7 linked regions of the Ovis aries genome follow. The protein of the gene in region 5 interacts with the protein of the main gene of each other region in a pairwise test. Links are inferred from orthologs where the notes say so. Each region holds a gene or a part of one and is shown on either strand. Other genes may lie near its edges.

Region 1 (3,856 bases), on a different chromosome or scaffold from region 5:
ATTCTCTGGCAAAATGTTGCCTTGGATGATGGGGCATAAGGGCCCCGGCAGAGAGGAGGAGCGTCTTGGCTGTGGTGACCGCTCAGCCTGCCGACCTCTCTTGGTGTGGGACATCTTCTCGCTTGGTGTTGGGTTAACTTGCTCCCGGTCCTTTGTGTGCTGGTGGCGTTGCCCTCTGTGTTGGCCCCCGTGGGTCGATTGCTCTTTTTTTTCCGTGGTGACCGTGGTGACCTCCTCTCTAGGCTCTCCTTGGTGGTGTGGCTCCCGCCCCGTGTGTGTCTGTCTCTCTGTGTCCTGCCAGTGGTTTTACCCTATGGTAGGTTACGTCATGCTGTTCTACCACAGGGTAGAACCACGGACAGGATACCGGGGCACCCTCTGCATCGAAGAGATTCCTCGTCTGCCCGGCCACAAACAGCCCAGCAGCCAGGGACTGCCCCCCTTGGGACGTCCCCCTGCTTGTGTAGCTCAAGCCTCAAAGGACTCTGAATTCTGGCTTGAAGCTTGTACCTGGGGTGCAAAGAGATGCTAAGGTGTGGGCGTTGGTTCAGATGAGTTCGTGGACATACAGGGAAGGGTATGGTGGTGGGTCTGGGGTGAAGGGGTGGTGGGGTGGTGGGAGCGAGGTGTAGACACAGCCTGATGAACAGAATTGTCCCGCATCAAGGATTAGGAGCACATTACTGTGTATTCGTATTAGACTGCTTAGGTAGGCTGGAAGCAGGGTGACTGCTGCTCATAGAGCCCTTTTGCAAGATTTAGAAAAAAAGTGTCCTTTCTCAAGACACTTCTGTGCTGGAAAATGGTCACAATATACTGCTTTTATTAGGAAAAAAAAGGCAGCTTGATGCTATTTGCAGGAAATTTGTTGTGACAAATGTACACATCTGTCATATTTTAACGTCACACCCTTGTGCAGTGTGCAGTCTATACAACTGTGCATGGCAACCCAGAATGGCGGAGCCCCTTTGCCATTAGATGCTCTGGATATCAGGCGGAAAGCCCCAGAATACCACACCTGGAGCCAACACTCACACACACGGGTGTGCCTGAGCATTGCTGTCCAGGGCAGTTGCTGTTCTGATTCACCCTAGGTCTGGCCCTGCCCTGTTCACTGACCAGCTGCTCACAGAGGTTAGCCCAGGGCTGATCCCAGTGGGGCTGCCTCCTCAGGATGCATGTCTCCAGACTAGGTACTACTTGACGGCAGAAAAGACTCGGACCTGCAGAGCAGGTGAGCAGGGTGTGGTCCATTAGTCCTGTTTTCCTCTCTCTTCTCTCACAGAGAGTGGTTTTTCCTCCTGTCCCATGAGGTGCTCAACCCCATGTACTGTTTATTTGAATATGCCGGGAAGAACAACTACTGCCTGCAGATCAACCCTGCCTCCTCCATCAACCCTGACCACCTCACCTACTTCCGCTTTATCGGCCGATTCATCGCCATGGTAAGATTCATGGCTGTCGTCAGACCTCCAGGGAGTGTGGTCACAGACCTGTAGACCACCAGCAGCTCTGGAGACTGGGTGCCCACTCTCTGAGCCCCACCCTCATCCTTACAGAACGCCTCACTAAAGATGCAGAAAGCTAGTGAGAGTTCTGGAAATAGTCCAGAGCTCTCTCAGTGCCCACCCTAGGGCACTGAGGAGGTTTTCACGTTGATTTGTGTAGGACTTGTCAAGAGAAAGCCCAGGGTCCCCGGATTAAAGTCTTCACTTAACACTCAGTGCATGTGCTGTCAAGGGTGGGGGATGACGGGCCCGTCTCTGGGTGTTGCCATGAGCTGGGTGGCGGTGTCTGGGAGTGTCCCACTGAGACTTGGGCCTTCTGGAAGGGGATGGGGAATCTACACTAGCTGAGAACAGGGAGCAAGGTGATCGACTGGTGCAAGATGTTGGAGTCATCTGGCAGGAGGGAAGGGCAAGGAATGGGGAGTCGGGCGTTTGTATTTATGTAGAAACGGGAGCACAGTGTAAATTTGGAAAGGGCGTCACCTCGTGTGCATCCTGTTGAGTACCTCGTGAGCACTGAGACCCAGGATGGAGAAAGGGGAGCCCTTTGAAGGCCCGGTCCCTCTGCCACATTTGGTCGTTGAAGAGCTTTCACGGCTAATTTGCCTTTGCTTCTTCCCCTCACTTCCTGAGTGAGTGTCTGCCCTGCTCCCCTCTCAGGAGGACCCAGGAGCCCATGACTAAGTATATTCCTTCTCTTTGTCTGGAGGTTCTTGGCCAAGGTGCTAGGGCTCAGGAAGTGGGCACATTCTTCCCAGGTCTAGAGACCCGCCTGGCCCTGTGGCTGACAGGACAGACCAGTAAAACCCTAGACTATTACTCACTGCTGGCCCGCCAGCAGCAGCAGGGGTGTCTGCATTATTTTTGGCTGCCTCTGCTGCCCAGCTCGGAGCAGCAGTGAGTCAGGGCCGCCACCTGGGGCTGTGCTGAGCGAGTCTCCTCTGTGTGGGTGGAGGTAGACCTCTGCTAGAGCGAGGGGCTGGTGGGCATGCAGTGGGTCAGAGGTGGGTCCTTGTGGTCTGCAGGTGGGACCAAGAGGGCTGCAGACCTAGCCTTCAGGCTCCTGGGAGAGCTGGATGCTCAGGACCTCAGGGAGCAGTAGTTGGGCTCTGATATGGGGCATCTGAGGAAAACCAGACCTCTCTGCCATGTCTCTTCTGTCCCCAGGCTCTGTACCATGGAAAGTTCATTGATACAGGCTTCACACTTCCTTTCTACAAGCGGATGCTAAACAAGAGACCAACCCTGAAAGACCTGGAATCCATTGACCCCGAATTCTACAACTCTATTGTCTGGATCAAGTGGGTCCCCTCTGTTGCCGTTTGCTGGGAGAGGAGGGGTCTCTGGATGGGTAGTAGGCGGGTGGAGATGCCCAGCTTCTAGGTCCCCCTGTCCTGGGACGCTGTTCTGGGCTCCAGGCCACCTGTGAGTCCTCGTGTCCCACCGGCACTGAAAGTGAGTGACGGGGCAGGACGGAGGGAACCCTTCTAAGACAGACACCTTCCCTCTTGGTCTCTTGTGCTCCCAGAGAGAACAACCTGGAGGAGTGCGGCCTAGAGCTGTACTTCATCCAGGACATGGAGATCCTGGGCAAGGTGACGACCCACGAGCTGAAGGAAGGGGGCGAGAGCATCCGAGTGACAGAGGAGAACAAGGAAGAGTACATCATGTGAGTGGAAAGCGCTAGGGAGCCGGTGGGGCCTGGGAAGTGGGGGCAGAGACACAGCCGGCCGCAGAGAAAGAGGCTCACACCCTTATCCCAGGGCACCATCTTCAGCTAGGCCCCCTCGTGTGGCCCATGGGTCTCCAGGGATGGGAAGAACCTTCCGTTTTGCACTGACCCTAGACCACTGCCGTGGCAGTCATGTGCTGGCCAGAGCTGGGTAGCCAGAGCCCGAGGCCCTGTGTTCCAGCCCCCGGGTGCTCCTTGTTCCCAAGTTGCAGATTCATGACTGCAGGACAGAATTTCTTTGAAGAGGCATAAAAGTTCGACAACTCCTTCTTTGTTCTCCTAACTGAAAGGGCACCTGTGTTCTGTCTACTTAAACCCACTGTCACCTGTGGGATTGTACACGAACATGCCTGTTCACTTCAGGTCCCTTGGGCCAGTCTTTTAACCCCCGTTCATCTGAGCTTCAGTGAGCGGTGATGGGAGGAGCAGGAGGAAGAGATGTTGAAGATTCAGGTGTCTGTGGGTTACTGTGAGGTTTTAAAGGCTGTGCTCTGGGGCCGAAGTTGCCCAGGTATCCCGCCCCCCAGGTCGGCTCTCGGCTGCCTCCTTGCTGCCAGCAGAGGCCACCTCCCTGCAGACCCTGAGCTGCTCCAGAGGAGTGGGTCTCGGGCTCCGC
Region 2 (4,449 bases), on a different chromosome or scaffold from region 5:
GGGACCCATCCAGGAAATTGTGACCCTCAGGCTCTGGTTGCAGCACTGCCAGTTACTGCCTGAGTGGTAGTCATCCCCCTGGGTATCAGCTTCCTCACATATAAAATGAGGAGGTTGGGCCCAGGGCACCTGGGACCAAGAGAGCTCTGGGTTGCCATTCCATCTTTGCCAGCGTGGGGCCTGGCATGTCTCAGCAGCTGGTCACTTGGATAATCCCCAGAGCATGAAAATGCTGCAGAGTAACAGAGAACAGACTCTGTTCACAGCAGGGTCCAGCCACTTGAATAGATGCTGGTGCCTCTGGCTGTTTTCCGGGGCCACCAGCCCATCCAGAGATGCAGCTGGCTGGAAAAGCAGATGGGTGTGTTGGAAAGGCCAGTGTCACCTCCAAACACAGTGTCTGGGAAATGCCCGTGGCCTGCCAAAGAGGTCACTGAATCCCTCCAGCTGGGGGCACAGTGCAAAGAGCCAGGCAAGCGGAGCTTCAAGTCCTGATGCTGCCACATACATGAGCTGCGTGACCTTGGGCAAGCTCTCTGACTTTGGGGGTCATTTTCCTCCTCCATATAATGGGAGCAGCAGTATCTTCACCTTGCAGAATTGTAGTAAAGTTTGAGATACTGCAGAGGTCTAACAGTACCTACTAAATATAGGAACTCAGAGACACTCAGTAAATGATAGAAGTGACTGTTTCTGTTATCTTGTGCCCTTTTTTCACAGGCATCATTCTTGGGACTGGAACCCAGGCTAAGGCTCCTCGCATGGCCAGAGGCCCTGGCCCCACGGCCAGGACCGGCCATGCCAGGGAGCCTGGTACAGGAGATGCTACTAGTCGGGATGCTGATTAAATTCCCTGATCCAGGAGCCTCAGCGTCCTGGTCCAGGGCAGGAGGGCTAGCCACATTGAGCACAGTCTGCTTGGATCCCTACTTAAGCTATTTTTTCAAGACCTTTTCAAGGTCTTGCCCCCTTGCCCCACCTTCCTCTGGCCCCTTTTCTCTGGGTCCCGGTCAGAGAAGGGAGACAAGCAGTGTGGGTATCCCCTCCTTCCCTCATTCACCGGGAAGGCGACAGGAGCGGGCAGAGGCCGTTTTCCTTGCAGAAGATGCGGCTGACACAAGCCCCGAACACTTCCATGGGGCTGTAGCCCCCTGTTTTGTTTTGTTTTTGTTTTTTCTTTTGGCGAAACTGGGTTTCCAATCCCAACCTGCCTCTTCCTCCATCCTTCATCCGGACAGCTCGCGAACTGTTTTGCTGGAAAGTGCAATTAAGGGGCACTTCGTGTTTTGTCTGCCCCCTTCCAGCGTCCGCCTGGTCAAAAGAACAAACCAGAATAAAGGAAGCCGGGATTCAACTGTCGTTATTTTTTTTTAAAAGGGGAGAGAGGCGGGGGTCACATGACGGCGAGTCACCGATTTGGCGAAGGGGCTGCCCCTCGGGGCTTGCTGCAGAGCCGCCCGGCCCCCAAACCCCGGGCGGGGGCGCTGACGTCACGGCAGAGCCCGGGCCGCGCGCGTATAAACCGCGGGGCGCGGGCGCGGGCGCACCCGGCGCAGTCACCCCGCGATCGGCCGCCCGCATCGCGGCGCGCGTCCGCTCTCAGCCGCACCCCCGGTAAGGCGAGCAGCCCGCGGCGGGGAGCGGGGTCCTCCGGAGAGGCGCGGGGGGCAGGACTGGGGGAAGGGGTGGGCGTCCGCAGCCCGCGGAGAACTTTCCAAGTGGGGAAAAGAACCTTCCGGACCTGCTGTCCGGCGCGGTGGTCTTTCGATCGGGGGTCGGGGGGGTGAGGGGTGTTGCAGAGTTTAAGGGGCGAAGGATGCCATTCGGCGGTGGCGGGTTGCTTTCGTGCAGTTCAGTTGGAGGGTCATCTCCTCCTCCAGACTGTGGTCGGAGGACAGCCGTCAGGGATACTTCAGGCACTGGTTGTTTGAAGAGTCGGCCTACCGGAGGCGCTGCTTGTAAGATTAAAAAAAAACAAACCTACAAACCGATCGGTCATCAGGGTCATCGAGGTGAGGGTCGCGGCTAGGGTCATCGACGTGTTGGGGTTCTGGGGAGTGCGTGCGGGAAGGGGAGGGTCTCTCGCTCACCGGTGCATCTTGCTGCTGAAAATGAGATTGCTTCTGCTTTCTGTCTGAGAGTCTGGGAGTCCAGACCACCGGGCAAGGGGAGGCAGTCTTGAGAAAGGCCAAGCTGTAGCCACGTTGTTGAATGTCTTTCTGGAGGGAGTCTTGGACCTGATTGGCTTCAGGAAGGTGGAAATCCGAGCTGATGGAAAGGAACTCTTGGAGTGGACAGAGTTTAAAAAGAGTGAAGCACTGTCTCTGCAAGTTTGACAGCTCTGAACGTGAGCAGGTCCTCTCCCTGCCAGAAGGACAAGGCAGAGGGATGGGTTAAATGTGATATCTGTGGGCAGGGGGCAGAAGTGAGGCATATACCTATTGCAGAAATTCTTCTCCCCCTCAAATAAGAGCATATTCAGGCATCAGGGCAACTTTACTAAACATGGAAGTTCCAATCAGCCCTGGTCCAATCCAGCCGGGGGGGATGATGTCATTGTCACGTGTTCCCCACTGAGGCATAAAAGCCTGCTGGGTGCTGCTGCTACTTAAGTGCCATGTTTAGACATCAGCGGCTAACCTGGCCAGCTGGTCCCCAGCTGCATTAACTTGTTGCTTTTCAAGCCTTCTCTAGAGGCTCTTCGTGCCTTCTGGCTGCCTCTGTGCCCGCTCTGAGTGGGGAATCCCCAGGCTTCCTTGAGGATGGAGGAAGCCCCAGGGCAGTGGGCGATATTAACGGTACCTTTTCCTCTTTGCAAATGACAGTCTCCCTGAGGAGCTGCTGTGTGTGTGTGTGTGTGTGTGTGTGTGTGTGTGTGTGTGTGTGTGTGTGTTCAGTTGAAAGCCTGTTGGGTTTGGGGACTGCTTCACTGGTGTTCCTTGTGTGAGGGTTACTTGGTAACCTCACATACTAAAATATCACTGATGACTGTGTTCGAGCTCCCTGAACTCATGCTTCCTGATGCTACCATCTTGGCTGCTTTGCCTTCCAGGACCTGACGATGACTCTGAACCATGTCACCATGCGCCAGGGCACGGCGGGCGTGCAGCCGCAGCAGCAGCGCTGGAGCATCCCTGCCGATGGCAGGCATCTCATGGTCCAGAAGGAGCCCCCGCAGTACGGCCAGCGCAGCCGTCCCCCCACCGCCCCCGAGGACCCCTGCCGCCGGAGCTGGTCCTCCGACTCCACGGACTCAGTCATCTCCTCCGAGTCCGGGAACACCTACTACCGGGTGGTTCTCATCGGGGAGCAGGGGGTGGGCAAGTCCACTCTGGCCAACATCTTTGCGGGTGTCCATGACAGCATGGACAGCGACTGCGAAGTGCTTGGAGGTAGGTGGCCCGGCTCCGGAGGGCTTTACGGGACAGCAGTGGTCCAGCAGGAAGAGTGAGTGGGTGGGTCATTTGTCTGCAGAGTTGGGAAGTGCGATTATGCCTTCTTGGCTCTGCCTGGGGAGCCGAGTCCCCACAGACGTGCTGGCATAGGCCTCTGGGACAAGAAAGTGAAAATGCTTATAGATAGAAGCTGGGCCAGAGAAGGAATTTCTTACATTCCAGCTCTAAAGGGACCAGGGAGACGGTTTACGGAGGGTGGAGCCGGAGGGTCAGGATCCCACCTCTGGCTTTTGCCAGTTCTGACCTGGACCTTTCAAGCACTCAGTGTAGAGACAGCCTTTTTCCATGGTGATACTTAAAACCAAGCCAATTAGAAAACTGTTAAGATGAATTCATTAGTTTGTTCATTGCAGTATTAGAGGCTTTAGAGGGTATAAAATTGTTTAAAATCTCTATTTTCAATAGCACAATATTTAAAAAAGATATTGAAAGTTAGCAATGATGATACTTAACGTTTGTAAGTATACTTACGGTTTTTCAATTTTCCATGGATAATCTCATTTAAGGTATTTATTATTTAGGCCTTGGTTTCCAAAACTGATCTGAGATGATACAGTCTCAAAAAAATCACATATTCCTCAAGTAAAGCATAGCACTGTATTCTGGGAAGTAAAATGAGGCTCCTGTAGTCGATGGTTTAAATTCAGTGTCTTTCAGCCACAGGATCTTAGACAATGCCAGGGTCACTGTATGTCCCTGTTTGCAGTTGTGGAAATGAAGTAAGTGTGCTTGTCCCAGTGACATGGTCTGTCTGAACGCTCAGTTGCAACTCACTGCTGAATCACAGATTTCAGGAGTAGGAAGATGCTTTAGTGATGACACAGTTCTGCCCTCTGCTTGATGCACAGAAATCCTACTCCTTCCTCACTGCTGTCAGCCCATTTCTACTAAACATCTATTCTTCCTTTGTCTGGGAGTTCATTGCTTCATGAGGCAGCTCCGGAACCTGCTTTAAATGATGACTCATTGATAGAACATTGATTTTTCTCCTCAC
Region 3 (3,856 bases), on a different chromosome or scaffold from region 5:
AAAGGCCTACAGCATGCAGCCTTTCTTCAGGACAGCAACCCCAGCCAAGGTGAACCGATTTTGCACTATATTATTTTATTTTAATTCTGCTTTTTTAAAAAATTCAATTTCTCTTTCTTTAGGCCAGCTTAGTTAATTCTTGCTAGAATTGTGTTCATTTAAACCATACGCTTTACATTGCTTCTAGTTTTGGATTTTGTGCTCATAGGTTTGCTCTTTTTTTAAACTTTCTTGTATTAAAGTAGCATTTCAGATATTATGTTGATCAGGCTGAATGTTGAATAGTTACTGACTTCTGGTGAAATTCAGTGAAAATGCAAGCTTAGTGTTTTGGCATACACTATTGAATATTAGTCAAAATCACTACATAAATGAATTATGTTTACTGCAAGACAAACCATATGCAACTCTTACCTATAATAAACATATCATTTATACCTCAGAAAAATGTTTCCTGGATTCAGAGTGTAGACACTTTTGACCTTGACTTTGCATGTTCTGTATATTTAAACAGCTATTGCAGTGATTGAAAGAGTAAACAACGCATTCATTCCCAGCTCATGCTCTCTTTTATATCAGAAACAAAGTTAGTTGATGCCATTATACAGACGTTTATCCAAATGTTTCTCTACTTCATTTGAACTATAATTTCGCTTTTATAATTTTTATGAAAAACTAGGTCAAGAATTAAACACCCCATTGAAGAAAGATCCGTTTTCATCCTTGTTTCTTGGGTGGATGGGATAAGGTAGGGTTAGGCGAAGGTAGGAGGTGACAGGAGGAGGCCAGAGTGGTCCACCAGCATTGTGTTCTCTGACTTCCTCTTCTTAGTTAACCTAGTAATTGCCATGTTGAGAATCACATGGAGATGAATTGATGTGTAAAAAAAAATCTCAAATGATGAAGAATGGCGGTTTCTTTTGTTAATGAGTATATATAAGCCACCAAAATCCTTTTAAGATGTCTCTGAACAGTTACAAGGAAAATATTCTGAAATATTTGGTTTTAAATTTGGGGAGAGTAAATTTTAAAAAGCCATCTTATCTCCATTGGAACCTAAATTATCAATGATTTTTGGTGCAAACATTGAAATAGCTAAAACACAGCTTCCTTATGAGCTGCGTGAAAGAGATACACCAAAGATTGTTACACCAAAGATTGTTACTTTAGTACAGCTGAGCATCACAGTATACTGTGGCACCGCTATGTCAGACTTTGTTGGGGAGCTTTTTTCTACCATGCACAGATGAGGCTTTTATGTCAAATCAGTACTTTATGGTCTTTTAAACAGTCTGACTGGAATTATTCCTCCCTTACTGAGTGAGCAGAGTCTACACATCTGCCGCAAACAACTGAAAATGGTTGTACTTTTTTTCTTTATTACTTTGGTTGCTACAGATTGCCAATTTCTTACTAAAAAGCAAGCAAAAGAGTTTACATTTCTGCAGAACTTACTAATATACTTTAGCTGTGTCTCTGAATGTAGATTGGAAGGTGTGAAGTTTCAGAACATGAGCTGCTCATGTTCCATTTTGAAGGAGAGAGACGTAGCCTTCTCATATGGTTGAGCACCACTGCATTTGAACCCTCGGTGCCAGAGTCAGTGCTGACTGAACAAGTGCTCTATCATAGCCATTTATTGCAGGAGTTATTGACCTAAGAGGGGATAAGAATGCTGTTCACTCTCAGAAGCAGAGTGTAGACAGTGATTTATAAAAAGAAAAATGGTGCCAGAGCCCAAGTTTAGAATTTCAAGATCCTCATTGGAAATGGCCTTGATAATACTAACTGTGGGTTTAACCCTTATTCATTCAACTACCACATCTGCAAGAGAAGGTTGAGAATTAATCCATCACTCTTAATGGGGGTGTTTTTTGATATATGCTAAGAGTGATATTTATGAAGAATGAATTCCAAATTAAGGGAAGTTACACTGGTCTCCTGTTTGTGTTTAAATGGTACTGGCTGTACAGAAAAAAAAGTGTAACAAAGAAAATGTTGAACACCTGTTATGGTCTTTTATTTCCAGGAATAGTCCCAATAAGAAAATAAGCCAGCTTCCTTTTTTTTTTTTTTTGGTGGTAATGTCCTTTGGAGAATGTGATTAAACCTTTAGTTTTCACATTTTCAATTTATTTTTCCAAATTCAACAGACCCTGAAAATTTGACAACCTATCAGAACATGGACATTCTGATTAATGATTATTTTCAATAAAGCATCCAATACCATGGATGAGAAGATAAGAATAGTGAGCATCACCATTTATTACTATTCTCTCCGTTTCCAAAGTATGCTAAGTACTTAGTATATTTCTTTAAAGAAAATCAGGACAAAACAGAGGTTTGTTTATTTGAAATACTAAGTTATAGATGTTGCTTTGGGGTATTCCATTTACTGAAGAAATTATCCCATAGATTCTATAAAAACTGAAAGATAATGTTAGAAGTTGTATTGGCTTTGGGCTTACTTCATTTTGGACTGGTTTTGTTATCAGATCACCTTAAGATATTTCTGAAAATAAATATGTTTAGGAGAGAATTGAAAATTGAAAGAAGCAAATTTCTAGGTATTTTTCCCTCTTGTTTTAACACAGTAAATGTTTAAAATTGTTTATAATGCCTAACTTCTGATGGACTTTAGTTTCAATTTTGTTCTTAGTCATTGCAGATATTGACAAAATGTCATACGAAATTATTTTGTATTTTTTGTAGGACTGGGAAACAGAAAATCATGACTGGTATTGTTTTGAATGCCATTTGCCTGGAGAGGTGTTGATATGTGACCTGTGTTTTCGTGTGTATCATTCCAAGTGTTTGTCTGATGAGTACAGGCTTAGAGACAGCAGTAGTCACTGGCAGTGCCCAGTTTGCAGGGTGAGTACCTATGAGCTTTAATGTGCTGGTCAGAGGGTTGGAATTCATTGATAATAGCTGCACAAAGATATCCCAGGTGGTCTTGCCAGGTTAATGGATAAAGTACTGGAGGGTGGGGGTTATCTACTGAAATGATGGTTAATGAACATAGAACACTCATAAATGAATATCGCAGAACACATACTCAGGGTATGGATTTTAGAAAGTTTGAATCATGTAAAAATATACTCTCTTCTTTTTACAATTCCCTCTGAATTGTGTGACTCCTTTAATGGACAGGCTTTGGGAATCAAGAACCACTGTCCCATACCAAGGTCTGTTCAGTCAGTCCTCTTGGCTGCTCAGAAAACACAGGTAGCAAAAGGCACATTGTCAGAAAAGTTCTGTATCTACTTTCCATTTTATATCCATGTAATGTTGCCTTTATTTTTTTGTCATGTCATGGGTTTATTTCTTTTCTTTGGAGGGTGGAGGGATGGGACAGTTGTATATCAAGAATTCTCCAAAGTGAAATAGTCTGGTAGGTAAAATAGGTACTTCCCACGATTATTTTCATTCATATTATTTCCCTGTTGAAAAGTGTACATGATTGTGCTTGTTGGCTGCCGATGTGGTGTGTGTGTGTATGTGTGAGTAATCGCGATGCCTAGGTACCACGTGATGTATGGCCTTGATGGTGATCAGTCAGGAATTATTTGATTGGAACTTGTATTGTTTTGTACTTAACTATTGTTAATATACTCGGAATCATGCAAATTGCCGAGATTACTCATGGGTTCTGTTTGTGAACATGTTTTATAGTACTTGTATAACTTAAATATTCATTTCTTCTTCAAAAAAGTTATGTGTTTATCTCCTCTTTGATGCCAGCCAAAGATCATCTGGTTCATTTGCCAGCATGATGAGCAAACTGCAATGTCCCTTCTAGTCGTCTTTTAGTGACTGTGGCTTTGTGTTACCTGAGTATGTTTCTTAGCAGCCC
Region 4 (3,598 bases), on a different chromosome or scaffold from region 5:
GGAGTGCTGAAGGGGGCGGGAGAGTGGTGAGCAGGGTTTGGGGCGGTTAAGGAGGGTGTGTCTGGGGGGTCACTGGTCCCGTTTCACTTCAGGTGGAACCTGAAGATGCTGCAGTGCCGGAGCTGCCTGCAGTGGTTCCACGAGGCCTGCACCCAGTGTCTGAGCAAGCCCCTCCTGTACGGGGACAGGTGAGCCTGGGCAGACCCTCCAGGAGCTCTGCCCCCCATCCCAGACCAGGTTGTCTTCCTGAGCTCTGAAGCCTTGCCTACTGGTTAGCCCCATCCTTGCTCGGAACACCCCCACCCCCACCCCCGTGGGCAGGTGTAGTTTCCTGTAAAAGGTGTATTCTCTCCCTCTTGCCTACGTCCAGGTTCTATGAGTTTGAGTGCTGTGTGTGTCGGGGGGGCCCTGAGAAGGTCCGGAGGCTACAGCTTCGCTGGTGAGCTGGATATGGGGCACGATCTCAGCATCACTCCTCTCTCGGCACCCTCAGTTTCTCACTTTACAGGCCCCAGCCCCCTACCTGGGGGACACCCCTGCCTGCCCCTGGCTTTTGCAGTGCTTCACCACCTTGACAAGCCAGTGTTTCTCCAGGGTCGACGTGGCGCATCTTGTCCTCTACCATCTCAGTGTTTGCTGTAAGAAAAAATACTTTGATTTTGACCGTGAGATCCTCCCCTTCACCTCTGAGAATTGGGACAGTTTGCTCCTTGGAGAGGTAAGGGGTGGTGAACCTCTCGGGGTCAGGGTGGCCAGGGAGATGTGGAAAAATGGGTGAGGGAATCACTGCTCTCCTGACCCCATTTCTTATCCTCTCCCCCAGCTCTCAGAAACCCCCAAGGGAGAACGGTCTTCAAAGCTCCTCTCCGCTCTCAACAGCCACAAGGACCGGTGAGTTGGAGGGAGGCTCAGGAGGAGATGGAGACGCAGCCTGAGAGGGAGGGGCTGCAGCTCACCTGGAAGATGCCCTCTGAGAAGGACTGACAGCATAGGAGGGTCCCTTTTCTCCAGCACTGACCCTGTATCATTTCTCTCCTCATCCCAGTTTCATTTCAGGGAGGGAGATTAAGAAGAGGAAATGCTTGTTTGGTCTCCATGCTCGGATCCCTCCCCCTGTGGAGCCCCCTCCTGGAGACGGAGCCCCCACCAGGTCACTGGTCCAGGGGGGATGGGGAAGTTCTCAGGGTGTATGTATGGAAACAGGGAGGTCTTTGGGGTGTCCGGGAGGGGGCTGGGGGGATAAGGAGGCCTCTTACAGCTTCCCTTCAGGGCAGGGCCCTGGGGGAGGGGTCTCACGTCCCCTGGGGAAGCGCCGGAGGCCGGAGCCAGAGCCCCTGAGGAGGAGGCAGAAGGGGAAAATGGAGGAGCTGGGGCCACCCTCAGCAGTGCGCAACCAGCCCGAGCCCCAGGAGCAGAGGGAGCGGGCTCGTCTGCAAAGGGCACTGCAGGTACAGGGGCAGGGGCACCCGTGGGCAAATGGTGGTGTGGGAAGGAATCAAGGATGATCTCTCAGTCCTTTGCTCCTTCTAGGCCTCAGTGTCTCCACCACCCTCCAGCCCTAACCAGAGTTACCAGGGCAGCAGCGGCTACAACTTCAGGCCCACAGATGCCCGCTGCCTGCCCAGGTCAGTGCATCTCCTCCCTCCAACCAGACACACTCCCTTGGAACCTCTTCCAGTTGCCTACAATCTTCTGGATTTCCTCACCCAAACTTCTTTTCCCTCTCCCCTTTGGCTGCCCACTTCTTTACCTAGAGACTTTGAGAACCAGGGTCTGCTCCCCAGTATTCTAGGGACAGATTCCTTGAGGATAGTGTTTGCACTCTGCCCTTCCCAGAGGGAGAGGGTCCTATTCCCCGGCTTTGGGTCCTGACTTTCTTCCTTCCCAACCCCAGCAGTCCCATCCGGATGTTCGCTTCCTTCCACCCCTCTGCCAGCACCGCAGGGGCCTCTGGGGATGGTGAGCCCCCAGACAGGTGAGATTCTACTCCTTTGCCTGTGATGCCTCTGGCCTCTTCACTTCGTGGTCCCTTAAATGTTGTTGTTATTCCTCTGACCCACACGGCCTCCATTTCTGGTCAGTGTTTTATCTCCATCTGGACTGACAGTTGCTTTCTCTACCTAGGTCACCCCTGGAACTTCACATTGGTTTCCCCACAGACCTCCCTAAAAGTGCCCCCCACTCGATGACTGCCTCATCTTCCTCAGTCCCAGCCCCCTCCCCAGGTGTTCCCAGACGCTCAGCACCCCCTTCTCCCCTGTGCCGTAGTTTGTCTCCTGGGGCTGGGGGTGGAGTCCGAGGTGGGGTCGGCTACCTGTCCCGTGGGGATCCCGTCCGGGTCCTTGCTCGGAGAGTGCGGCCTGATGGCTCTGTGCAGTACCTGGTTGAGTGGGGAGGTGGGGGCATCTTCTGAACAGCCTGCCTCTGCCTAACTGCCCATTGACACACACCGGCACTTTCATACCCTGACCTCTGACCTCACCTACAGCTGGGATGTACCTGGGGCACTAGGGGGGTATGTCCCCCTACTGTCCAGGCTGGAATCCAGGTTGGGGGTTGGGGAAGAGGCTCGCTCTCCTCTACTCCCTTCACGGTTCCTGACCTTCCCCCCAACCATTCCCTCATTTCCTTTGATGTTATTTTGTTACAGCTTTTTAAATATTTTTAAAAATTATTTAACCCCTGGGGACGGAGACTGAGGAGGGGAGAAGAACAGATCCTGGGCTCTGTATCATTGAAATAAAGATAAATAAACAAACTTAGCAGCCCTGAATCATTCCAAAAAACGAGAAGAAAGGGACTAGAAGCACTTCTGATCTTCCCAACCAAATTCACTTTTTGACAAGGAGAAAGTAAAATGGAAGAGAGAACTAAAAATGGGATTTATTAAAGAGTCCAGTCATCACAAGGTAGGAGTGTTGAAATTTATGAGGAAAACCATGGCAAGAACAAAGGTTCATCACAGCGGGGCTGTGCTGGAGTCAGGAGCTGACTCTGTCACCTGGCGCACCCACTGCAGGTACGGGGGGTTCCCCTGCTCCACAGGCAATGCAATCACCTCGGCCACTTCATAAGGGTGCACAGACCTGTGGAAACGATAGGGGAGCAAAGACTTACCCAAAGGAGTCTGTCCCCTCAGACTGCCCAGGAAGGCTCACCCCACAGTTTACACCCTCACCTCTACCCACATCAAAGTTCTCACCGAACAAAATCCGTCAGAGCTGGAACCAAGGAACTTTGGGTTTTGATCATCTGAGGGGTGAAGACAAACATGGTTGAATCAGGGGGTGAACTTGATTCCAGGATCTGGGATGAGGGATAGGGGTCAAAGTAAATAGTCAGAGAATTAAGTTTTTGTCGGGTAAGAAACATTTCTCACCATCAGCACTTCACTGTCCTCTTCAATTTCTCCTTTCCACTCATAGCTGAAAAGGTAAGGAAGAGAGTGTTGCGAGGGCAAAGATTTCCCTCAAGGTAAAAGACTGCTAGTCAGTTCTTTGAGTTAGGTTAACCCTCCAACCCCTAATTGACTCACATGGATGTAATCTGAGGGACAAGGTTGACGCAGGCTGCGAGGCGCTTCTCCACCATAGCCCTG
Region 5 (4,287 bases):
TGTTGGAAAGCAAATGAGGAGCTGCAAAAGGAGGTGGAGAAGGAGAATTCAGTAGGGCAGGAGGAAAGATGGTGGAGAAGAAGCAGTCAGTGGGACAGGATGAAGCCACGGGGAAGAGGGAGTATACCCTGACCAGAGCTGTTTCTAGGTAAGGAAAGAGGAAAGCTGAGAAATCACCATTGATTGAATAACCTGGAAATCATTAGAGACCTTTTGAAGAGGGAATTAATTCAGAGGACTGGTGGGGACAAGAGCTTGACTGAATGAGTTCAGGAGAGAATGGGAGGAAAAACGGGGAGGAAGGGTAATAGACAACTCCAAGGAATTTTACCCTCAGGGAAAATAGAAGAATAAGAGAGAGATTGCTGAAAAGTGTTGTGAGATCAAGAGAAAATTTATTTAAAGATGAGAACTCTTACATCAGTTTATGTAGTGAAGGGACTGATGCAGAAGAGGATGAAATATGATAATAGTGGAGAGGGGAGAACAGCATTGGCCATCCCCTGAGGCGTGGACATCTGTTCACTCACTCGCAAACCTGGATCCCTGCTCACTTTCCCCCGCTGCCTGAGCTAGCCGCCTGGGCTGAGCACTGGGTCAAACTGGGGACTCTGACACCCTCAATGGAGGCGCTGCCGGTTCTGGAGCGGGTAGCAGGACATACCTCATCAAGACAGTCAGCACTTAGGTGGGGTGGCTGGGCTGCTGGCCGCTGACTGCGAGGGGTCGGTGGTAGGAACAGGTCAGGAATGAGTAACGATTGGGGCCAGAGCCAAGGGTCCCTACACCTGTGTCGACTGTCATTTTCTGCCTTCGGTGGAATGTTCTGCAAACAACTTCATGCTCCCCCGTGTCCTCCTCAACTAAGCCCACCTCGAGGTCCCCCCCACCACCACCAACTCTCCACCAAATCCGTCCTATTTAGAAATTCTGGAGCCTCCGATGGCTGTACCTTACGGCGAACTGTGCCTGTCTTCACGACGGCCCTGTGAAGCGAGTAGTATTGTCCCATTTTTCTGAGTTGGAAACTAAGGTTCACAGACGACTCAGATCCAGATCTGTCTGGTTCCCAAGTAGACTTTCTTTTCACTCAGCCAGCTGGAGGCGCAAAGGGCCAGGAAAGCGGAGGGTTAGGCTCCCAGACTAGGTGTCCAGCAGCCGAGACCCCGCCCAGACTCCGTCCAGGCCCCGCCCCACCGACGGGACCAAGGAGGGCTGTGTCTTAGAGCCCAAAGCTAGATGGGACCTGATGATTGGGTGGGGCGGAAGGATTGGGTAGGGCTTCCCACTGCCCGGGCGACCGCGACTTTTGGAGGGGGCGGGGCATCTGGCTCCGCCCCCCTACGCGGGCTCAAAGCGGATGGCAGCCGCGGGGGCGGGGTCAGAACTCGGGCGGCGGATCCCAGCGCGGCTCTTTGGAGCCCGCCGCGGAGCAGCGCCCCGGTGGGGCCCAGGAGGTACTTGGGACAGCGCGGGGCATCTCGGGCCGGACCAGGCGGGGGGCAGAGGCCTAATGGGGACCACAGAGGGGGCTGGGGGTCGTAGCCAGCTCTGCAGTTCCTCCGATGGGCCGTCGCCCCTACCCCCGCCCCCGCCTTCCTGCGGCGAAGCCGGCTGCGGCGGGGCTGATTGGCGCCTGCGCCGCTTCCTGCGCCTGGGACTCGGCCAGTGCTTGGGGCCCAGGCGGAGGCCCAGGGGGAAACTGAGTCACGTTGGGATGGTAGCAGTCCTGTGTGGGAGGCACCACCCTCACTGGGCTGCAGGATAAATCTTTTTCCTGACCGTGCTTTGGAGTCCCAGCCCCCACCGTTCCCTCCAGGGGCCTCGCCCCCGCCCAGAACCCAGCGCTCCCAGGGGTCCTGCCCTGGCTCTCAGTAGCTTCGACTGGGCTTGGAATGGCTAGGATTCGCTCCAGCCGCCTCCCTCCGCACCCCTCCCCCTCGCGGCCCAAGCCCCCGTGTTCTCTCCGAACAGTGTCAGTTTACACGCCTTATATAGTCCGAGCAGGCTCCAGCCGAGGCCTGCCTGTGGGGACCTGGGGGCGGGGGAGAGGAGTGCCGGCCCTGGACTGGCATTGCTGTCCAGACCAAGGCTCAAGACTGGCTGGGAAGGAAGTCATGCCAAAGTAGTCCTGCTGTCCACTCCTGGGTGAGAGGAACCTTATGAGTGGATGCGGGCTCCCTTCACCCCCCGCCCCAGTCCTTTGGGGAAGGGGGGTTGCCCCTGTCTTTCCAAAGTGAGTCTGCCAGCTAGCAGCCCAGCGCGACCTAACAGGGTGCCCGCCTACCCTCCCCCTGGGTGTGCTCAGCGTCTGCCAGTGCTTGCCTGGCGCTAGTCCAAGGCTGGTGTCCAGAGTAGGGCCTGCCTGTGCACCCACTGTGCATCACTCACTTTTTCTCTCCTCTCAGGAGCAGCACTATGGATTCCTTCAAGGTGGTGCTGGAGGGGCCAGCACCTTGGGGCTTCCGGCTGCAGGGGGGCAAGGACTTCAATGTACCCCTCTCCATCTCCCGGGTGAGCCTAGGTTGAGGGAAGGGTTCCTCTGGGGGTCTCTGGGTGCTCAGATCTCCAGTGGGCGGCAGGAGGAGTCTGAGCAGGAATGAGCCGACGTCACAGACCAGGAGGTGTCCAGGTCCAGAGCTGTGGGCATCTGCCACAAGGACTCCCAACTCGGTAGATACTGGGAAGGGAGCAGCCCTCAGACTTCCACAGCTCTACACTGCACCTTCTAGGCTCAGGAGTGTGCCCATTCTTCAGGAGGTGAACCTGCGGTCTCCAAGAAGTATCTATAAACTGCTTGAGGAGCAATGTTTGGTGCTAGGCCCCTGGGAGGGCACTCTGACTGCAGGAGCTCACTTCATCCTCATTGCCACCTAAGGAATAGCAACTACCACCCTGTTTATTCAGATGAGATAACTCAAGACTCATTGAAGGAACTCTTTCATCAGTTCCATGGCAAAGCAGGCATGGGGCTTCAAACACAGGGATGGCCTGCAGTTTTTGTGGGTGGATAAGGTGCTTCTGCTTCTCCCCAGCCCAGGTGAGGACTTTTATCCCATTCACTGGTTCCATTCAGGATGCAGTGGTGTTTGGGTATCTAGGGCTCTGACTTCAACTCCTGAGAGCCTGTCCTGGTGGGGGTGGAGCTGGAGGCTGGCTCCTCCCTGTGGCAGGGGGATTGCCTTATAAGCCCAAGAATGCAGCCCCATGCTGGGATAGTCAACTGGTGGCTGGAGTCTGCAGAACTAAAGAAGGCTGGCCTAGGCCTGGAACCCTGAACCCCATCAGTGGGCCCCTCAGCCGATCATCAGGCTGTGGCTACAACTGTGGGATCAGTTGTGGGACTCGGAGAACAAAGTGCCTGCCCTGAGAGGGTGAGGCCAGCCCTTGGGTTGGTGTCTCTTGACTGTAGTCTGGGGGTCAGGAGTGGGCGGGGATTTCTGTCCCCATATCCCCTTGACCAGAGAGGCACACCCAGGCTCCTGGTGGGCAGCTGTTGGCATGAAGCCCAGGGCAGGCTTAGCCTGGAGGGGTCTAGAGATCCCAGCTTGAGGGGGCCCCAAGGTAGAGTCTGTTGTAGTTGGGCTTGGTGGCCAGGACCTGCAAGCAGTCACTGTTCCAAGGGACCCTTCCACGGGGTTTCCTGGAAGCTGCTCTGCCAGCAAGGTAGCTAAGGGCACTGATCTCCCTACTACTTACACCCAGCCCATACATAATACTCAAGCCTTGCCATCTCTGGGAACTCATCCTATACTCCACTTCCTGAGAAAGTGCTGGTCAGTGTGGCTGGGAGCTTGGCTGACCTCTGAGCCTCAGTTTATTCATTGGTGGGGATGGGCAACAAAGCAGCCTAAGGGATGGACTTTCAGATGTGGCCTGTTGGGGGCACTCTGAGCTTGGGCTCTGTTGTCAGCAGCCCCAGCATGTGGGTGGGGCCACTGGCTGAGCCCAGCCCTGGAGTTGGACCTAGGCCCTGGTGGGTGGGAGTGAGGGTGGTCTTTTCGGAGCTGGGCTGGGCCCCCTCCCTCTCTCCTGACCCTAGCATGGAGGAGGAGAGGGAGGGGCTAGGGCTGGCTGGAGGCCCAGGCCTGGGAGATGAGGTAACGTCTGGGACTTGGGGGTTGGGCTGCTCAGTGGAGCCCTCAGGCTGACTCACCCCCTACTCCGTGTGGTGTCCAGCCCCCTGGCTTTTCCTCTCCTTGGTCCCTTGGGCCTCCTTGCTTTTCTCTCCAGACACATGCTGCCCCCCATCCCCAGGTCTCTTCTGCTTCTGTCTCCACCTCTGAC
Region 6 (4,602 bases), on a different chromosome or scaffold from region 5:
TGCTCAGTGTCTCCAGCCGCTGGTTCTCAGGCATGCGAGTGTGGCCAGGGGGCATGGCTGGGTCTGGTTGGCTGTGCTGACGGGCCTCAGCCTCCCGCCGCCACAGGTCCCTGCGCTCCAACAAGCTGTGATGCACAGACCCAGGGCTGATGACCCTAGGCAGACGTGGGCTTCCACCCTCCATAAGTGCCCCTTCCCAGGAGTGGGGGGAGCAGTAGGACCTACTAATGGGGCACGTGACCCTTCTGCGTGGCGTTGTAGTGCTCCTGGGCTTGCCGTTGCTGCTCCAGCACCTGTGCCAGGACTTGCAGCGAGCGAGAATGCCGCCGGGGGGCCCTCTTGGCAGTGCGGGCATTGTGCATAATGAAGTCCACACCCAGACCTGGGGCCTGCGGGACATGGCCAGCATGATGAAACAGCACTGTGTGGTGCCCCGGAATCCCTGCCCCACCTCCCAGCCCCCACATATCCTCTCACCTTAGCATTGGGACCTGGTAGGGTTAGCTGGGGACTGGGGACACGGGGTGGTGGGAGCCCGGGGCCGCAACGGGAATGGGCCCGCAGAAAGTGGGCTGGCTCAGTTCTAGAGGCAGGGCCGGGCTCCTGGAGGCCAAGGCAGAGCGGGGGGTGGTCAGTCAGGCTGAAGTCAGGGTCTCAAGCTGTAAGACCATGCCTCTGTCCCTCCTGTCTTTCAGGATCTTTCTCTATCACCAGTCCTCTGGACCTGGCCTCCTTCCTCTTGAATAAGTACTTCCATCACATCAGCATTTAAACCTGTGTGTTTTTCACATCTCTCAGAAAACATATTTCCCTCCCTCTACCTCAGTCCTGGCTTCAGTCATCGTTCTCTTTTTCTCTCCTTCCTAGTCAAGCTTTCTGGCTCTGTCCCTACCAAGGCCACCAACAGCTGGTCTCCAAGCCCCCAAATCCAGGGTCACTTCCCTGGTTTCACTATCCTCAGCCTCGTCCTCAATAGCTCCTGGGTCTCACTTCTGAGATCCAGACCTGATTCTCCATCTGCCTCTTGGACACATTCCCACTCCCTGGAAGCCCCACAAAAGCTTCAGCTTCAACACACCCACATATGACCTTGTCTTTTTTTCTGTCCTACTTCTCCTTCTCAGACCCCTGGAAAGAGAAGTGGCACCACTAGCTACCCCAGATAGAATCTTACCACCATACATACCCCTGCCCTTCCCATTGTCCTTAGAAATAAAGGTTTAAAAAAATGGATTTATGTGGCCCTTTATGATGTGGGTCCAGCTGACTTCTTAGCCTAACCTCATGTTCTTCCTCCCTCATAGTGAACTGAACACAGCATCCCCACTGCCCACACTCCTAAGTCCCTGGTGTTAGGACCAGGGACCCTGGAACCACAAGGTTCCATTTCTATAAAATGTTCTCCTCTATTCTCCCCTTGCCTAATTCCGACTTGCCCCTCAGAATCACCCAGCTGTCATCACTTCAGAGAAAGGCCACAGCCCCACTCTGCAGCAGGACCAGCTCTTCATCCCCTGTGACCTCAGCCCACTGTGGGTTTCCTCCCTCCTCATAACTCAAGTCAGAGTATAATGTCCTGTTGGCCAACAAGACGGGCAACACTTGGGGCTCCCTGAGGCAGGTACCTGCAGCTGAGCCTTGACACGCGACTCCACTTTGTCATACTTGGGTGAGCGCCACAGGGCCTTCAGGGGCCTGGATTGGGCCTGCTCCTGGCTGTGCTCCTGCTCACGGAAGCGCCTCTGGATTTCCCTGATCCGCCTCATGTTCTCCTTCTCATGGTCTTTAGGGTCCTTCCCTGGAGAAAAGATGTTGCCCTACATACAGCCCATACAATCCAACTTACCCCAGTGGACACACAAGCCCACACCCTGCCTCCCTGACATACTCTAAAGTCCACCACATAACCTTGTTCTCGTCCTCACACCATAATTATCTTCTGTTTCTGATGATTTTATACATATTTGATTATGAAGTATACTAGTAATCACCTTGCATATCCTATTCACCTCTTCACTTGTTTTACTGTCTCCCACCTTGATTCAATGATGCGCTTCTTCGACCTTGTTCTCCTAGCACCCATAGGGCCTGGAGCACAGCAGACACTCAACAACCAACCATGCATAAATCCATGAAGCTGAGCTACGGGCTTTTCCGGGGTATGCCTCATTTAGTCCTCTCCTGCGAAGAAGTCGTGCATTTCCCGCTCCTTCTACAGTTGGGGAAACAGACACTCTGAGAGGTAAAGCCTGAGCCCAGAGCAGGGAAGGGGAAGCAGCCGTCTTTTTATCTGTTTTGACTTCAGAGCCGCCTCGCTGTCCGTTCTGACCAGAACTTACTCTTGGGAGAGGCCCCTGGGCCTAGGGAGATACCCCCGAGCTGCAGCAGCACACCACCCACGCCGCGACGGCCACGCTCCAGGATTTCTAGGCCTCCCGGACGGATGCGAGGGGCGCGGGGAGGGGTGGCGTCTAGGTCCGGGTCCGTATCCGTCGTCAGCAGGTCCAACTTCGGCGCGTTTCCCTCAAGGCGCCCTTGGGCTGAGAGGCCAGACGGGGCAGAGTGCGGAGTCAGTGGTGGAGCTGGGCCCGACCCTTGCCAGGCCGCTTTCACTCCCTAACTCACCCGAAGACGGCCTCCGGTAGTAGTCCGGACAGAGCGTAGGGTCTGGGGGGATGGGCCCCGAGATGCGGGACGGACCCTCACACATACCGCCGCCGCCGTCCTGCAAACGTTGCACCTGAGGCCTGCCGGGCTACGCGTCTCTGGCTCCAAACCCGGCTTCTCAGCCCAGTGCCTCCTCCCTGGCCCCGGGTCCTAACCTCAGCCGTGCCCTGCCTGCGTTCCCGGCCCCCACCCCGCCTCCCGGCCCCGGCCTGCGCTCGCCACCTCTGCTCTCAGCCCACCTCTCAGTACCGTTGGCAGGCTTCTCACTCGGGCAAGGGGCTCACCAGAGCGGTTTTGCCGCCCACTGCCGCCACCCGACGGGTTTGCTGTTGCCAGGCAACAATGGTTTCCGTCCGTGAGGTCAGGGGCCAATGGCCTTGGCGCAAAGCCTTCTGGGGCCTGTAGTTCCAGCTGAGGGGGGAGCAGAACGACTGTCAGTTGCCCTTCCCAATCCGGTCCTCTCCCGGGTCCGCTCAGGGTCTACTAGTCTGGCCCCTCAGGATCCGCCCTCCATCCCCAATGCCCCTCAAGCAACCGTCGAGGAAGTGCTGATCCGCCGCAGCTATGGACTCCGCAGGGGCTGAGAAGCGGCCAGGGGCCCAAGAAGGGGCAGCCGTGGGGCAGTCACAGCTTACAGAGATGCCTGGTGGCCATGCTCAGAATTCTGAGGTGACCATCGGGCTGTCTAACCTTCAAACACTTGGGTCATAGCGCTTTAATAGACCAAAACTGCCAGGCCAGGTTCCACAGGCTGGGAGGGGCATGGGCTGGTGCCCTTCATCCAGAGTATTTAGAGTCTAATGGCTGGTCCCTGTATCCTTTACCTGGCCATGGTGACCAGTTACCTGTGTGTCACCGCTAGTGTCCAGTGATGGGAGACCAGGGCCTGGTGCCAGCCCATGAGGCCTGCCAAACCCAGGATGAAGATAAATGTCCAATAAGATCCACCTCAGAGCCAAAGATCCAGGAGAGACTCAAGCTGGAGGAAGACAGGCACAAACCAGAGGTGGAGGCCCTGGAGGAGAGAGGTCCCAGGCCTACGGCCTCCACTGTGAGGCCCAGTCATGGTCCGAAGAGGAAGCCGGTCAAGTGAGGGGGCTTTCAGAGGGAAGAGACTGGGAACTGGGGAGGTGGTGTGGGGGTGGCTCATACCCCAGTTGGATTCTTAAATGGGGCCTTACAGTAGTGTCCATCCTTATCCCCTGACACCACCATCATTCCTCACCTCTGCTGACCCTCCAGAGCCCTGATGTAGGGAACATGCAGAGCAAAAGTCTCAAGGCCTGGTAGGGGACTGAACTCCCATGATCTCTGGGTCCCTGTCCAGTCCAGGGCCTCACTGACCAGGAAAAGGACAAGGATCACGGCCTGGGGAGGTAGGCAGGCAGGACTGTTCCCTAGGACAGGGCACAGGAGCCAAGGCTGCAGGCTGGCTCCTCAGGCCTCCTTGTTCCCCAGCCTCACAGGCCCGAGCCACCAAGCCCATCCTAGGGCAGAGAGTGAGTTGCCACAGGGGCTGTCGCTGCAGAGGGAAGAGCCGGAGAATAATCAGAATGAGCCCTCACCATCTGCCAAACAGCACAAAAAGACCAAGAAGCGCAAGAGTCTGGGAACCCCAGTGCTCCCAGTGGTGGCCAGCACGGTGTCGGCACCCTCAGTGACCTTGGGGCCTGAGCGTGAGTGGCATTTCCTGAGCCTTCCCTTTTGTCCCAGCCAGCTGGACCCAACACAGCCCAGCTTGGCACTCCAGTCATTGCCCTGCCCTGGGTTCTTGTAGGAAAGGCCCAGCGCCTGCGGCCCCTGTACCAGTACATCAACTATTGCAACCCTGAACTGAACCAGGCAGGGGAGGGGGACAGGGAGGCTGAGGCTGAGGTGGAGCCTGAGTCAGAGCTGACAGTGGTCCCCGAGGAGGCGGGTGTGGAGCAACTGCAG
Region 7 (4,469 bases), on a different chromosome or scaffold from region 5:
CAAGGTTGACAATTCATGAATGCTTTTGTGAATCTCTCTCACTATAGCCTTGACAGCAAATATTTTTTAAATTTGCTTTTAATTAGAGGATAATTGCTTTACAATATTGTGTTGGTTTCTGCCATACAACAACATGAATCAGCTATAGGTACACACTTGGCCCCTCCTGCTTGAAGGGGCACCTCCACCTCCCACCCCATCCCACTCCCTAGGCTGTCACAGAGCTCGTGACTGAGCTCCTTTATTACAGCAACTTCCCACTAGCTATCCAGTCTACATGTGGCAATATATATGTTTCAGTGCTACTTTCTCAGTTTGTCCCACCCTCTCTTCCCTACTCTGTCCACAGGCACTGAATATTTTTGACAATGCTGGAGCCTTCAGGGATTGGGAAGGGAGTGGGCAACCCAGGGATTTAAGATGAACTACAAGATATCTTTGCAAGCTTCAACCCAAACATCACTCATCTGAAAGCCCTGTCATCTTAGGTAAACACCCTATTCTTACCATGGTCTGTCAGTCTACTTAACTGGCAAGCCCAGCCTTACCATTCGATGCCCAATAAATTAACATTTTGATGCCCAGTCTAAGTTTTTGTCCCAGATCAGGAAAGGTTGGGAACAGCCAAGGCAGGTCAGGTGGTTCAGACTTGAGTAGAGGCTCAACTGGCAACGAGTGTGCTATCCAACTAGCAAAGAGAGCATGACAAGGTCCAGCTTTCCCTAAGGCTCAAATTCTAAGTCAGAAAGTAGCCCGTTTGTGTGGGTGCTCAGAGTTCAGTGCTACTGAGATTCCTTCCAGGGTTGGGCACAACATCCCGAGGGTATCTTCACCTGTTAGACGCCAAGCCGTCTGTAGGTCGAGCGGCTTCTGTGGGAGCCAGAGAATGTTTCTAGGCTGGCTGCTTGCAGGAGGGCCACCTAAAGGTCACAGGAGAGGGATTCTCTAGATCTCGGCTGCTCGACGTGGTCAGAGGAACAGCGACATCAGCATCCCCTGGGGGCTTGTTCAGCTTGTAGATCTCAGACCCCAGTCCAGAGCAAGCGACTCCGAATCTGCATTTTAATCCCTAGGCACCTTGAAGTTGAAGCAGCAAGGTTCCAGGTGGTAGCACCAAGACTAGCGGAAGGACCTTTCTCTCGGCCCCGCCCTCTCGCCCTTTGCTCTCCCCTTAAGCTCTGCACAAAATTTCTGCACAGTGTGTATGAGGAGGGGGCGTGCAGGAGCTGCCCGTGGAAGGCAGAGGGAAAGTGGGATCAGATCAGCGAGAAGGGCTTTCTCCAGTTCAGATCCCACGGCGTGAGACACTCCCCCCCCCGCCCCGCGCAACCTCTCCACCCCCGCCCCCCGCCCCCCGCAGCTGCTACTGCCAGCCTCCCTCCGGCAGCCACGAAAACCCGGAGCAGCTGCGCGCGCTCCTGCAAAGTCCTCCCAGGGCGAAGCCGGGCAGCTGGGCATGCTCAGTAGCTGGGGGAGGCCTGGGTGGAGAGTGGGAAGCTGTGGCTCAGCCTCCGGCCCCTCCCGCCGGCCCCCGCCCCCTTTGCCCCTACCCAGCCCGTAGTAGTTGCCCGGCGTGCGCCCGGGGAGACCGGGAACATGGCGCTCCGAGCGATGTAGCTGCGGAGGAGGAGAAGGGGACGCGTCTCTGCCGCCGTGCTGACAGCCAAGCCACCAGGTAGGCAGGCGCGCCCGGCAGGGCTGCCCGGGTGGGTACGGGCGCCGGGAGGGGCGCTTGCGGGGATGCGCACGGCGGGACCTCGGCACCTGGCTTTGCCGGGAGAGGATGCGAAGCGGACATCTGTGACAGCGCGCGATTGTGCATCTGTTAGGAGATGCCAAAGGCTGGGGACCGACTGGCTGAAGGGGATGGATTCGGGAACCGCCCCCCGCCCCCCACGCCCATGCACTGCCATCCAGCCTGGGCTCTCTGCGGGTCAAATAAAGGGTAGTTCTTTTCTGCTGAGCAGGAGGGCATGGGGGAGATACCAGAATACCAGTCCTGGGAATGCGCTGGTCCCCCGGACCGCGGGCAAACCCAGCACCGGCTCTTTGTGTATACAGCCCCGCACGCCGGGGGTGCCGCGGTGCCTGCTTCTCTGAGGAGTGTTGGACATATTGCCAGGGAAGGATTCCCGTTTGGTTTTTGTCTCTTGACAGGTGTAGATTGGAGAATGCAATAGCTCAGGCTTTATGGGACTGTTTTCCTTTGTTACTTGCCTTGGTGTGTGCGTGTGTGTGTGTGTGTGTGTGTGCGTGTGTGTGTGTGTGCGCGCGCGCTCGCGTGGTGGGTTGTAATGGAGAGAACTTCTGCTCGTGGGCACGGGTGTGGACAGAGCGTGGAAGAGAATCTCGGTTCCAAACTCTCGTCAAAATTGCCTGCGATGTTAACCTCCTGGAGGATAAACTTGAAAAGTCCAGAGATTATCAGTGCCCAGGTTGAAGGAGAAGCATATTGGCCATTCTTGAACCTATGTGTGCATATCGGGAGCTTTAAACCTGGGACGCAGGGTAATTCCACATTAAATGTCAATTAAGGGAATTTGAAGCATTGGGATGTTATCTATAGTGGTCTTCTTCTTCTTCTTCTTCTTTTTTTTTAAAGGCCAAATTAATAAAGAAAAAGAAAAGTTGGCACAAAGCCAGAAGACAGTGTCGTCGTTAATAGTTAATGACAGCTTTAGAAGGATAAATATACTTTTGGGGAAATCAGGAAACCAGGTGTTCCAGAGGGTTCCACCAAAAAATAGATATAGGGTCTTAGGTAACTCTCAAAACCTCTCAGAGCATCCTTTTCCTTTCTAGGGTTTGGTGGCAGGTCTTACTTGAGTCCAGATGAACCACACCACTTTTTAGAAGTCCCCCCTACACTAGAATTCTATGAAATTGAAACTGCATAATAACAGCTTTGCACCTTACATTTGTATGTCTGATTTATTCAGACCTACAACTCACTGAGTTAAGGAGGAAAGGTAAATTTAGAATGTGCTTTTATTTTTTGATTTGTAAAGGACAGACATCTGTGACTATGAAGTTTAGACACACTTCCCTCCGTGCTTACAGTACTTATTTTTATCGTCTCTTTAGGTGGCAAGAATGAGTCAGTATCATCAAAATGAAATGGGAGAAACTTGAGAAAAATGCATTTAATTAAATTAAAACCATAAGTGTCCAATCTGGTGATAATGCCTTGACTTCGAATTCATATGTGCAAAGCAGAAGCACTGCTGATGGGAGCAGTAGAAAGTGAACCTCACTGATAGCACTGGGTTATATGGTGCTTCTCTGTGAATGGGGAAAGTTGAATTGTACTAGATCCCTAAATTTGTTAACAAATGTGTGAGAGAACTGCAGACATTGAAAACACTTTGTGCCTCTCCTCTGTCATTTTGCTAAAATGTTGCAGGTGTGAGAGGCAAGTGTTCTGGGATCTCATCTTGGTGGTGAGACAGTTGGGTTTGAGCTCTGACTCTTCCCTATTTAGCTTTGTGATCTTGAGCAAGCTATTTAACTTTCCCAAGCCTCACTTTCCTCAGCTGTAAAATAAGCCTAGAGGTAAGACTTAACCTAAATTGGGTAGAGGTATGGTTTACTTATAAAACACAACCAGTGGTGGTGATCATTATCAGAGGAAGGAAAACGGATGTTTATTCAACATATACTCTATGCCCTGTATTAAGCTAAATAAGTTCAAATGTCTGATCTCATTGAATCTTCCCGACTAGAGCCTGTCAGTCACAAAGAGTCAGACGCAACTTGGTGACTGAACAACAAACAGATGGCTTAAAATGGCAGAAATGTATTCTTTCACAGTTCTGGAGATTAGAAATTCAAAATCAAGGTTTACTCAAAGCCATTCTTTCTTGGAAGCCTCAAGAGGAGGATCTTTTCTGGCTTCTCCCAGTTTCAGGTAGACCCAGGTATTCCTTGTTTGGGGACAGCATAACTAATTTCTGCCTTCATCTTCACACTGTGAAGTTCCCCCATTTATAAATATGGAGACCATTCATATCGGATTTAGGACCCATCCTAATTCAGTGAGACCTCAACTTAACTTGACGTCTGAAAAGATCCTGTTTTGTAATCAGGGCACATTTTTAGGTTCTGGTTGGGCATGAATTTGGAGGGAACTCTATTCAGCCTTGTATAACCTATGATAGGTATTTAAGGACAGTATTAGTATTATGTCACTATCAGTAGGATGTAAAGATAAAATAGTATGGATTTTGAAAACACTTTAAAGGTTATTTAATCCGGGCAATATATTTGAATTTTTATATACCCAAACATGATAGAGAAAAACAGTATTCAGAGGTACCTCATTTATACAAATGTCACTTGTCTAGAAACCAAGGTAATCTAGGGTTTCAATCTTAAACAGGTAACATAGCTGATATACCCTGGCCTAGATGGATTAGTTAATGTTTGCCTTCCTCCCTTTTTGCTTCCCCACCAACACAATGCAAACAGAG

The links.
Region 1: the proteins of PDLIM7 (region 5) and WWP2 interact in binary tests that used the Homo sapiens proteins (3 or more experiments, as listed by UniProt). The link is inferred for Ovis aries from reciprocal best matches to the Homo sapiens genes PDLIM7 and WWP2.
Region 2: the proteins of PDLIM7 (region 5) and GEM interact in binary tests that used the Homo sapiens proteins (3 or more experiments, as listed by UniProt). The two-hybrid records come from large-scale screens. The link is inferred for Ovis aries from reciprocal best matches to the Homo sapiens genes PDLIM7 and GEM.
Region 3: the proteins of PDLIM7 (region 5) and ZMYND11 interact in a two-hybrid assay, tested with the Homo sapiens proteins (2 studies listed by BioGRID). The link is inferred for Ovis aries from reciprocal best matches to the Homo sapiens genes PDLIM7 and ZMYND11.
Region 4: the proteins of PDLIM7 (region 5) and PHF1 interact in binary tests that used the Homo sapiens proteins (3 or more experiments, as listed by UniProt). The two-hybrid records come from large-scale screens. The link is inferred for Ovis aries from reciprocal best matches to the Homo sapiens genes PDLIM7 and PHF1.
Region 6: the proteins of PDLIM7 (region 5) and ENKD1 interact in binary tests that used the Homo sapiens proteins (3 or more experiments, as listed by UniProt). The two-hybrid records come from large-scale screens. The link is inferred for Ovis aries from reciprocal best matches to the Homo sapiens genes PDLIM7 and ENKD1.
Region 7: the proteins of PDLIM7 (region 5) and PAK5 interact in a two-hybrid assay, tested with the Homo sapiens proteins (2 studies listed by BioGRID and IntAct). The two-hybrid records come from large-scale screens. The link is inferred for Ovis aries from reciprocal best matches to the Homo sapiens genes PDLIM7 and PAK5.

The regions. Positions count from the first base shown.
Region 1 is NC_056067.1:36,516,190-36,520,045, forward strand, and holds part of WWP2 (NEDD4-like E3 ubiquitin-protein ligase WWP2), read left to right. Parts: intron 1-1,285; coding exon 1,286-1,445; intron 1,446-2,675; coding exon 2,676-2,809; intron 2,810-3,036; coding exon 3,037-3,177; intron 3,178-3,856. UniProt on the Homo sapiens protein: E3 ubiquitin-protein ligase which accepts ubiquitin from an E2 ubiquitin-conjugating enzyme in the form of a thioester and then directly transfers the ubiquitin to targeted substrates.
Region 2 is NC_056062.1:82,965,921-82,970,369, forward strand, and holds the start of GEM (GTP-binding protein GEM), read left to right. Parts: upstream 1-1,545; 5' UTR 1,546-2,762; coding exon 2,763-2,798; intron 2,799-3,052; coding exon 3,053-3,392; intron 3,393-4,449. UniProt on the Homo sapiens protein: Could be a regulatory protein, possibly participating in receptor-mediated signal transduction at the plasma membrane. Has guanine nucleotide-binding activity but undetectable intrinsic GTPase activity.
Region 3 is NC_056066.1:46,465,007-46,468,862, reverse strand, and holds part of ZMYND11 (zinc finger MYND domain-containing protein 11), read left to right. Parts: intron 1-4; coding exon 5-49; intron 50-2,153; exon of another isoform or gene 2,154-2,198; coding exon of another isoform or gene 2,199-2,249; intron 2,250-2,712; coding exon 2,713-2,874; intron 2,875-3,856. UniProt on the Homo sapiens protein: Chromatin reader that specifically recognizes and binds histone H3.3 trimethylated at 'Lys-36' (H3.3K36me3) and regulates RNA polymerase II elongation. Does not bind other histone H3 subtypes (H3.1 or H3.2).
Region 4 is NC_056073.1:7,745,713-7,749,310, forward strand, and holds the end of PHF1 (PHD finger protein 1), read left to right. Parts: intron 1-92; coding exon 93-188; intron 189-370; coding exon 371-439; intron 440-594; coding exon 595-718; intron 719-823; coding exon 824-891; intron 892-1,045; coding exon 1,046-1,448; intron 1,449-1,530; coding exon 1,531-1,625; intron 1,626-1,894; coding exon 1,895-1,975; intron 1,976-2,124; coding exon 2,125-2,413; 3' UTR 2,414-2,758; downstream 2,759-3,598. Other genes in the region: protein CutA, read right to left, coding at 2,960-3,086, 3,203-3,306, 3,380-3,425, 3,536-3,595. UniProt on the Homo sapiens protein: Polycomb group (PcG) that specifically binds histone H3 trimethylated at 'Lys-36' (H3K36me3) and recruits the PRC2 complex. Involved in DNA damage response and is recruited at double-strand breaks (DSBs).
Region 5 is NC_056058.1:36,698,411-36,702,697, reverse strand, and holds the start of PDLIM7 (PDZ and LIM domain protein 7), read left to right. Parts: upstream 1-1,383; 5' UTR 1,384-1,457; intron 1,458-2,408; 5' UTR 2,409-2,418; coding exon 2,419-2,514; intron 2,515-4,287. UniProt on the Homo sapiens protein: May function as a scaffold on which the coordinated assembly of proteins can occur. May play a role as an adapter that, via its PDZ domain, localizes LIM-binding proteins to actin filaments of both skeletal muscle and nonmuscle tissues.
Region 6 is NC_056067.1:34,775,322-34,779,923, forward strand, and holds the start of ENKD1 (enkurin domain-containing protein 1), read right to left. Parts: upstream 3,012-4,602; 5' UTR 2,952-3,011; exon of another isoform or gene 2,907-2,951; intron 2,726-2,906; 5' UTR 2,711-2,725; coding exon 2,626-2,710; intron 2,541-2,625; coding exon 2,340-2,540; intron 1,799-2,339; coding exon 1,626-1,798; intron 604-1,625; coding exon 478-603; intron 390-477; coding exon 226-389; intron 126-225; coding exon 1-125. Other genes in the region: C14H16orf86 (uncharacterized protein C16orf86 homolog), read left to right, coding at 3,232-3,336, 3,530-3,756, 4,096-4,343, 4,445-4,602. UniProt on the Homo sapiens protein: Microtubule-binding protein which regulates microtubule organization and stability. Promotes the stability of astral microtubules and facilitates the proper orientation of the mitotic spindle.
Region 7 is NC_056066.1:2,811,739-2,816,207, reverse strand, and holds the start of PAK5 (serine/threonine-protein kinase PAK 5), read left to right. Parts: upstream 1-1,557; 5' UTR 1,558-1,675; intron 1,676-4,469.